Linked DNA regions of Drosophila melanogaster. The protein of the gene in region 1 interacts with the protein of each later gene in a pairwise test. Each region holds a gene or a part of one and is shown on either strand. Other genes may lie near its edges.

Evidence for each region.
Region 2: the proteins of LpR2 (region 1) and Hil interact in a two-hybrid assay, tested with the Drosophila melanogaster proteins (one large-scale study listed by BioGRID).

What each region holds. Positions count from the first base shown.
Region 1 is NT_033777.3:25,737,424-25,742,082, reverse strand, and holds the start of LpR2 (lipophorin receptor 2), read left to right. Parts: upstream 1-1,617; 5' UTR 1,618-1,838; intron 1,839-2,460; 5' UTR 2,461-2,472; coding exon 2,473-3,028; intron 3,029-3,393; exon of another isoform or gene 3,394-4,056; intron 4,057-4,659. Other genes in the region: LpR1 (lipophorin receptor 1), read left to right, coding at 71-103.
Region 2 is NT_033778.4:20,615,175-20,619,807, reverse strand, and holds the start of Hil (hillarin), read left to right. Parts: upstream 1-1,590; 5' UTR 1,591-1,741; intron 1,742-4,633. Other genes in the region: CG9945 (uncharacterized protein), read right to left, coding at 1-328, 381-527, 588-852, 920-1,099. UniProt on the Drosophila melanogaster protein: May act as a modulator of septin function during cytokinesis in the developing nervous system.

The DNA of each region.
Region 1 (4,659 bases):
AATGATTTAATTTCCCTTCCATAATATTAATCGGTATACTTATTATAATTTATCTTAATTTATCTTGCAGTACTCACCCGTCATAGGCATATCCTCGTATTAGATTGATTCCTCTGGAATCGTGTGAAATGTGGATTGGATGATTGTTGCGCTTGGTCGCTGGGAAAATTAGATGACCAATGCTAACTCGAGACCCGCGGCAGAAACACACACGCCTGAAGACTGAGCAACTCTGTGTATTGTGTAAATTAATTATTTTAAAATTTTAAGGCACGGCAAGGACGGCGGGTCACCTTGGAGCGCATCCTTAAAGGATGCTGTACAAAATACTATGTCGCAGAGTTCTATCACAAATAAACAAAAGAAAAACAAAACAGAAATAGTTACGAGAAACGTAAAAGGAAACGAGAAATCTAATTGCTAATTATAAATTACATAGTTCCAAACTGTATATAGCTGTAAGTGTGCATTATTTTTAAATGACGCAACTTAATATTACTATACGTAAACATGACAAAGAGATCATTGTGCTTATGGTCTACTATTAGAGCAAGTTGAGAAATTATATTTCTGTTGTCAAGGAGCAGAGTCGTTTTATTATATTAAAATTATTACTGCATACGTATTAGCCTTTTGTTAACTGTATTTGTTAAGTGTACATACATATGTATATGTTTCCCCACTAAAAAGAAAATATGATGAATAATAAACTCAGAACATACTTATGTGTAGCGTACTCCTGTGATATAATTACATGACTTTGTGGATGGGATTTTAATTTGATTGATTTCAAAGTGTGAGTGGTAAGTTGCCAGCTATTTTTCCAGTTTTTATTTCCAACATTGTCCAATTTACAATTTTTTGCTGAATTTGTAGCATTTCGTTTCATCTTCAGATGCACAGCTGTTAAAAATGCACATATATTTCTGTTCCTTGAAGAAATCTCAATTGGAAATGTACCGAAGGGGAATAATTCATCAAAGCTTGATGATTTTACACTTTGATGATATCCAGACTTGCTAAAAGCCCATCGTGTTTCTCAAGCATCTTTGTTATTCAAATGGAAACCATGTTATGAATTGAAATGCAGAGGTACAGGTGCTGTCAATAGATCAATTTCCGCTACAGTAAATGGTTTAACATTTATTGACCAATTGTGATTTACGTGTGTCTATGCTACAAAGCCCATTACTAGTTTCAATCGAAGCCTTGACTGATTGACCCGGGCCAACAAACAATTTAGACCTGTAATTTTAGAAATTGCTACCTCACTAATTGGATGCCGAAACGACAAATAGTGGAACACACCTCCAAAATAGATTGATACACGTTCTAAGAGAGCGGCCGAAGAGAGAACCACCTGTTAGCTCTGATTCAATGTCAGCTTATTTGCGCACTGGTAGCTTTGTCTTCTCTTTGTGTTGGAGATCGAGGCTTTTGATTTTCAACGCTTTGGGGCTCCCCCCGATGATGACGTCGACACTCTCTTTTCTCTTCGCAGGTGTGATATGGTACGCGTGGCGATCGTCGGTTCGTTGCCGAACGAAAGACGAGCACTGCCGAAGTTTCTAAGACGGTTCCATTGGTCCGCTCACTTCGGAAGCGATATTCCGGCAGTTTGTACTCGCAGTGCGTGTCGCTAGGTCGTCGCTGGTCGCTTATCGCTCATACGCCCCATGCTTTGGATATAACTTCACCGTTAAACCGAGAAATTTCGGAATGCGAAAAAAGTTTCGGAAAGCAAAAGTTCAAAGCAAATAAAAAAAAGTTCAAGCCGGGGCTTTAAGGCCAGCTCATCGCATTTGTCGAGCGGAAATAAGTGTTAATTAAAAAAAAATGTATGAATCTATTTTGGCCGAACGTTACGTCAATATGTCATGTGAAAAAACAGCATAAATTTTAGTCCAACATGTGTTTTGCCATTCAATAAAGTAAATACAAGATTTGAACAACCAGAACCCATTCCGAGCTGGAATAATGGTGTCAATGGGTAGTGGCTGCGCATGACTTACCAGGCTTACCTGGCTTATCAACCGTTATACCGCTGATAGCAGATATATCCAAATAAAAAATTATTTTAATGTTTTAAAATGAGTGAGAGGGACAGCATAAGGGGCTAACCCTCGCTTTGACCAAAGGCGTCGCCCTTAGCTTGCAGTTTTATGTGTGTATTTCGTGTTTTCTGTGCTCTTATGCTGTTTTTTCGCAACATCGTATGTTTCTTTTTCCCTTCATCGCCTTTTCCGCATGTTTATCGTACCTATGCCTTACACTCTCATCCCGATACAGTCGATTCATTCTCTCACTTTTGTGAACGTTTTTTTGGCAAACGTTGCGTGTATTCGCCTAAACTTATTATTTAATGGACGTGTATAAATAAGTTGGCAAATCGAACCAGAGTGAAAAGCGTGTGTGACCCACTGAGCCTAAAGTGCAATTTCTACCGTATATATATTCTAGCAGCTGCAAAAGATGGCCACAACCTGCATGCCGCATTTCACGGAATATTTTCAAACCACCACCCAGTCAGAGTTAACAACAAATGAAAGTGCCAACAGCAGAAGCAGCAGCAGCAGCAGTGGCTGTAGAGAACCGTCCAAAACCAGTGGCTTCTTCTACAGCGCCAGCACACATTACCAGAGCAAAGTGCAGCAGCTAATCAGCTTCAGCTTCACCTCATCGTTCCACCTGCTCTTCATCACCTGCATACTGAGCATCAGCAAATTCTGCAATGCGGCGGCGGTAAATGCCGCCCATGTGACCGCTGCCACGCCCACTGCCAGCGAGATAATGCACAATCTGAGCGGATCGGCGCTGCTAGAGCGTCTGAAAGCCAGTACTCTGGGACCCACCCTCGATCAGCTGAAGCATCTGGCTCCTGCGGCAGCCAACAGCATTAGTCCTGGTACAGGATCTGGCATGGGAATCGGGATGGGACACTTTGGCAGTTCCATTAATTCGGTGCTAAACGGAAATCCTTTAAAGTTCTTGAATGTGTCAGGAAAAATCGGCACTCCTTTGGACATATGTAAGTTTTTACAAGCCCATAAAAATGGTTTATTCCTAGAAGTTCTAAATGCTAGAGGTATTTGTAGTTATAAATCTTTTAGTCACTCTTTTTATCAACTTGTATTTATTTTTATGATTCATGAAAGGCTTAAACATTCATACATATTGCCGGCGAATTATTAGAATTAGTCAACTATTAACATCACGTCACAAATTAAGCTTTCCATCATATCAAAACTAATCATTTTTGTAAGAGTTGCCGTATTTTAAATATCTATTAAAAAGCTATGAATATAAAATTCAAAACTAAAGTGCAGAATAATCAAAATTTAAACTGAAAAATAATTTAAATCACAATATACTTTGCAGCCTTAATTGAGAGTTGTAAACACTTAAGGCTCGTAATCATGGTTCGACTTTGTCGGATCTTCTTCGATTTCTCCGAGTGTAAGGGGATGCGGTGTTTATAGTTGGTGGCTCCAACTCCAACTCTCTCATTTCTGGCGATCATGCCACCAGCCATGTGTACATACGTATGCATACCCCGATTTCCAGTCCGACTCCGATTTTAGCTAAGGCTCCGACTCCGACTGACTCGGCTCAAGTTTTATTTATGTGAATTTTGTTGCCAGCCGAAAGCCAAAGCGTCTGGCAATGCCAGTAAACTGCACTTCCATTTCCATGTCCCAACATTCCACATCGTCATACGATTTCCAGACTGCAGAGCTCTTTCCCTTTTCTCCCCATGCTCCGTGCTCTTTTTTGTCGGCAGAAACCTTTTACTTTCCTCTACAACTCGCCTCTGCTTACACTGTAATAAAAGTTCCACTAAAACTCATGCTTAAAGTGACTAAAGTACCGGGATAAAATCGAGTGTGGCATACTTTTTGGCGTGCTATATATGACATTAAAAAAAAGGGTTCTTTAAAGTTCAGAATTTATGCATTTTCTTTCGGTGTACACTCTTTGCTTGTTCTGCTTCCCCTTATAATTATTCCATTTTATGCTTATTTTTTGTACCGGCCGGCATCGCTACATGAAGCGAATGGAGCGCCACTTGAAGACTTAAACTCCGGCGGCTCTTGTGAAATGTACAGAGAGAATACCGAGAAAGAGAGAAGAGGAGAGAAACCGTGGTAGACGGGGGAGCAGAGAACAAAAAGAGCAACAAGTGGCCGATTCTTGGAGTTTCTTGGCCTTGCACATTGGTCAACGTTTTTTTGTAAATCGATCCGAGCACGTGGCAGATATATGTACATTCTACTCCAACATAAACTGGAAGTAGCTCGACTTATTTATAAACATTTGTTGTTACCAAGCTGATCTCGATATCTATTTTGATTATCCCCCACCCAGAAGTAATTCAAGCACTTTAAAAAATATGGCTTAGCTTTAAAAAAACATAAACAGAAGATTGACTAACGAAGTAATTTTAGCTTCAAACGCGGCTGTTTGTAAATGACATTGAATAAGCAGGCAGTTTACATAAAGGCCTACGTAAAACATTCAAAGAACATTCAAAACATTCAAACATTCAAATTGGTAAGAAAATTGCTGAATAATCAATTATTTGCGCAAATTAAAAGTACAGTGTAGAACCAAAAATACAATAGACCCTGATTAAATATCAGGGCATAGTATCGACCATTT
Region 2 (4,633 bases), on another chromosome or scaffold:
GACAGGTCCCGTGAACGGAAGGTGGTGCGCAGGTCGTAGACCTTTAGCAGGCCGTCGTCACAGCCGGCGATTATCACATTTGGATCCTTATCGTGTAGGAAGCACACCGAGTTAACATCCTTGCCGGGCATGCGGTGGGTGCGCAGGATCTGTGTGTTTCTTGTGCGAATGTCGGTCACGATGACCGTGGAATTGTTGCTGCCCCCGATGATTTTGTCGCCTGTTGGCGAATAGCGCAGCGAGAAGATGGCCAACCTATGGCTTGGCAGTCCATTGACATCGATCCACTGGCAGTCGTCTTCCCCCCCATTCACGGGCATGATGAACACTGAAGGGGAAAACAACTTAGTGTGGATAAACAGATTGGGCGGAGTACCTACATGAGCGGGACCAGGTGCTGTAGGCGAAGTGCTCGCCATTCGGACTAAAATCCGCATCGATGATGCTCCACTCAACATCGCGGGCTCGGATGCGATTCAGCAGGTGATAAGTGCCCTTGGCGCCATCGTAAATGCGCACAAAGCCATCTGGAAGGGGTCAAAATCGTGTTTTAATGCCAATCGGAAGCGTTAATCATGAATGCTGACCTTGACAAGCGGTCAGCAACTTGCTGCCCGAACGATTGAACTTGGTCACAAATATTTTGGATTCCAGCGACATCAGGCGTGTGGCCTTTTTGTTTGGTATGTAAAGATTGGATATGTAGCGCTGCTGGTTCTTGGAGAACGATGCGCTGTGCGGCGATGCCAACCCATTCTCACGCTGCTGAAGGGCGTGCACCAGGTTCCAGCGATTGTTCGGATTGCTCACTAATCCACTCGACGCCTGGATCTCCTTGTACATATCAGTTTTCTGGAAGATTGCGTGGGCAATAAATTACTATTAATTGTTATCTGGGGACGGGGTATTTCGTCATTACCTGAAATTTAACTAGATCGGGCTTGCCTCGTATAACTGGCATCTCGCTGCTGCAATAATCGGAGCGCAGATCCATGGCGTTCACCGTAAAGTTGATCACGTTGAAGCCCAGCTCGTTGTCCGAAGAATCAAAATCGTCGTCTTCATCGCTATTCATCTGTATAGCCAATTGGTTCCCCATAACTTTTTGCGTTTTCCCTTTTGCACTCTTTTGTTATTAATTTCAACCTATCGTTTCTTCGATAATTGTTGCAGCCAGTGAGACCGCAGGTGAAGAGCCTGAAAATACCACGATGTTCAAGTTCAAACGTTGAACACCTATCGATCTATCGCAGCAGATTACGAACAAAAAATTGTAAAACCTTTCTATATAAATATTTATATAAATTAAAACTATTAAAAATGCTAAGCTGAAATGATAGTTATAGCAAGGAAGTGTAGCCGAGGGCTTTATAAAAAAAAACAAATGAAATTATAGATTTTCCAACGGGGACCAGAGTAAAATATTTTTAACGATTACTGGAACTCCTAGGCTGATCCGTGGACGGCTATCGATAGTAGTGGTGGGCACGCGCAGTTGCCTTTGCGAAGCGAGCTTTTTGGAGCTATGTAAAAGCTTTACCCCCAACAAAGCTCGACTCAGAGCGGATTCCATTCCGCGAATAGCAAAGCAACTAGTCTCAAATCGATCGTGATCGCGCTCGAGCCGAACGGAAAAGAAACGGATCGAAAAGAAAAGCGGCTCGAAACCTGTGCTAGTGTGAGTGAACGCGTCCGTGTGTGTCGTCGTGCTGTGCTGATTGTGTATGAGTGGTTGTGTTTGGTAATGAAATTTTGTTACATTCCCAATATTCGAAACCTGCTGTTCGGAGAAGAGACTTTTGGAGGCACAACAAATAATGCCGAAAATGTGATAAAGCGCAGAATTGGAATTCCGGATTCATGGACCTTGCGAACTGAACAATCTGCTCTCCCCTTTTTCTATGCCTGTGTGTGTGTATGCAATATGTGTGCTTGGATCTCGCTGGGGCTATCGCTCTGTGTGTGTGTGTTTGTGTGTCGGTGTGCGCCTGCGTGTGTGTAAAATTTATGATAAATACTTTTGCACAAAGCGCGCCCCTTTGCAACCAGAAGAAGAAAGTTGTTTAGCATATATGCGTAAAAGTAATAGAAATACACATAAACGGCAAAGAAGTGTGTCAAAAAGGGCCTAGAATAAGCACTCCATGTATCGCGTGTGTATAATCTAGGCGAAAATAACAAAAATAATAGCGATGCTGGGGAAATAATCTACGGAAAAACTGGAACAACCGACGCCGCGGCTGCAGACACGAAAAAAAAGTGAAAGATTGCAGGCTGACGTTTGAAGTCGAAGCTGGGCCTGCGTCACGGCATAAACACACACATAAACCAATACAAACGCAAATAGACGGGGTGGGTGGTTGAGGCGACACCACCTGTCATGGGCGCTGGTTGCACCCGCCCTCCATCCCTTTTAACTACACGGGTTTCGTATGTGGCTTCCAATTATTGTGGCTTGCTCATAAATTATTTTCGGTGTTTGTGCTTCTAATTTATTGCCAGCGAAATGGGCGATTTCTAAAAGCAATTCATTGTTCCATTCAATTAGCGACTTTGAAATTGGCACAGCAAAGCAAGTACCTTGATTTTTTCAAATTTGCCCAACCAATTCTCACACTTTTCAAGAACAGTTAAACGTTTTTGACAAGTACTTTTGTATACTTTAAATAGTTCGCCTAAAAGTAAAGCGAAATGGGAAAACAGTTTGAATTTTATAATGTTTATTAATTTAACAATTATTTAAGTTCATCACATTGAAATTATCTGCCTTTATTTCCATAATCTAAAAAGGGGAATCATTGCCCTGTTCGACTTGTTAGTTATTCACATTAGTGCCATTGTCACATTTTAAGTTTATATTTCTCCCCTCATATCGCTACTCTGCAGTGACGCAATCATTTGCATCTTATTTTAATTCCTATGATTGTTTCACTGCCAGGCGGAATAACCAGTTGCTTTTTGTCTTGTTGTTTGCTGCTTGGCTGTTGTTTCTTTGCATTTATCAAATCTTTGTATCTGGCTTTAATGTGATTAGCGGTGGCAATTATGCCAATTCAAGTTCATTATACTTGTGTTGCTGCTGCAGCAGTTTACTGTTATTATTGGTATTTATTTAATTGTCATTGTTAGCGTTTCGTTAAGCAATGCCAGCGATAAGGGAAACGACAAAAACAACAGCAGAGATACCACATCGAAACGAAAGACTTAGGCAACGAACTTGTTCGCCCGATGCAAATGCTTCCGAGTGCTTATCAATTTATTTAAATGTCTCGATTGCAAACAATTGCCCGCGCAGAGCAACTTTCGTTTTTGTGACTGCTTCTCGCGTTTGTCATTTTATTTTGTATGTTTATATTCCATTCGCATGGCATTTCATCCGCATTGAGGTGGAAAAGAAACCCAAAGCTGGCACGGAGCACAGGCATGTGTGCGAAATTATATGCGGCATCTCGGGTTACCTGCAGTCCATAGCTTCTTAGTCACACCCAAGTGGCCATGGTGGCATGATGGGATGATGGAACGATATTGTGATAGGTGATGTAAGTCGCACGAGGCGTTTTGTCAAAGCCGCCCCATCCAATTTGCAGGGTCTTCGCGGCTATCCACGTATTCATGTCCATTACAATTATAATTACACGCTAATTATGTCAGCCGCTAAGCGTAATTGGACCATTCAATCACACCGATTATGATCGCATCAACAGATCAAACTGCCATTTTTGTCGCTCTCGATGTGGGCGTTGTTGATTGATATTCGAATCGATGCGGGGGCTATGGCCAAAGAGCTAGACGAGATTGTGGACAGGTTAGTCATCGATGGAGCTTATGGTCTTTAAGGGCACAAATCTCCCGCTCGTCTTGATTCACACATCAATTTGTTGCCTCACATTCGATGTGGTCGATCAAAAGGCAGACCTCAAAAGCGGAATAAATTTTTATTCACAGCCAATCAAAATAATTTGGTGTTACAAAATGTCTTGGCGGCCTTCGCCGCATTTGCATTGGCGTTTTCCCCTTTTCCATTTCAATTTCTTACCATTTTCCATTAGTGCTGCAGCTGCAATGTGGCATGCAATCCACAGATCAGCAACCTTCGATGCCGCAACTGGCGCTAATCATAAGGCCTTGCCACCACCCATTCCCCAACCGATCCCCAACCACCCACCATTCATCGCCCGGACTCAACGTTCATTAAACTTGAAAAGAAAGCAAAACGATGACTTTGAGTTCGACTGCGGCTTTTGGCTTTGTCTGCGCAACTGAGCCGCATTTGTTTTAATTTTGGTCAGAGCAACAGACGCCGCAACAACAATGATTTCAATTAAAGTAACATGCACTTGCTCGCACACACTTACCTTCACACAGTCTGCTTTTCCACTTCAATTTAATTGTTGTAGCTAGACAAAAACCGAAAGGAAACCTGCCAGTAACAATCGCGTCAATTAATCAAATGGAAAATGCAACTTTTGTGCCGCTGCCAGGCGGCAGTTGCAAGTTGCACGAGCCAGTTGTACGACGAATGCAGCAACTCAAGTTCAATTGTGGCACGTTTGGAGCAATCTCAAGCTCGACTTCCCAAGCGAGGTCAATGGCAAGGCGAAACGGATTTAACCCTTTGCCGCTGAGAAACGCC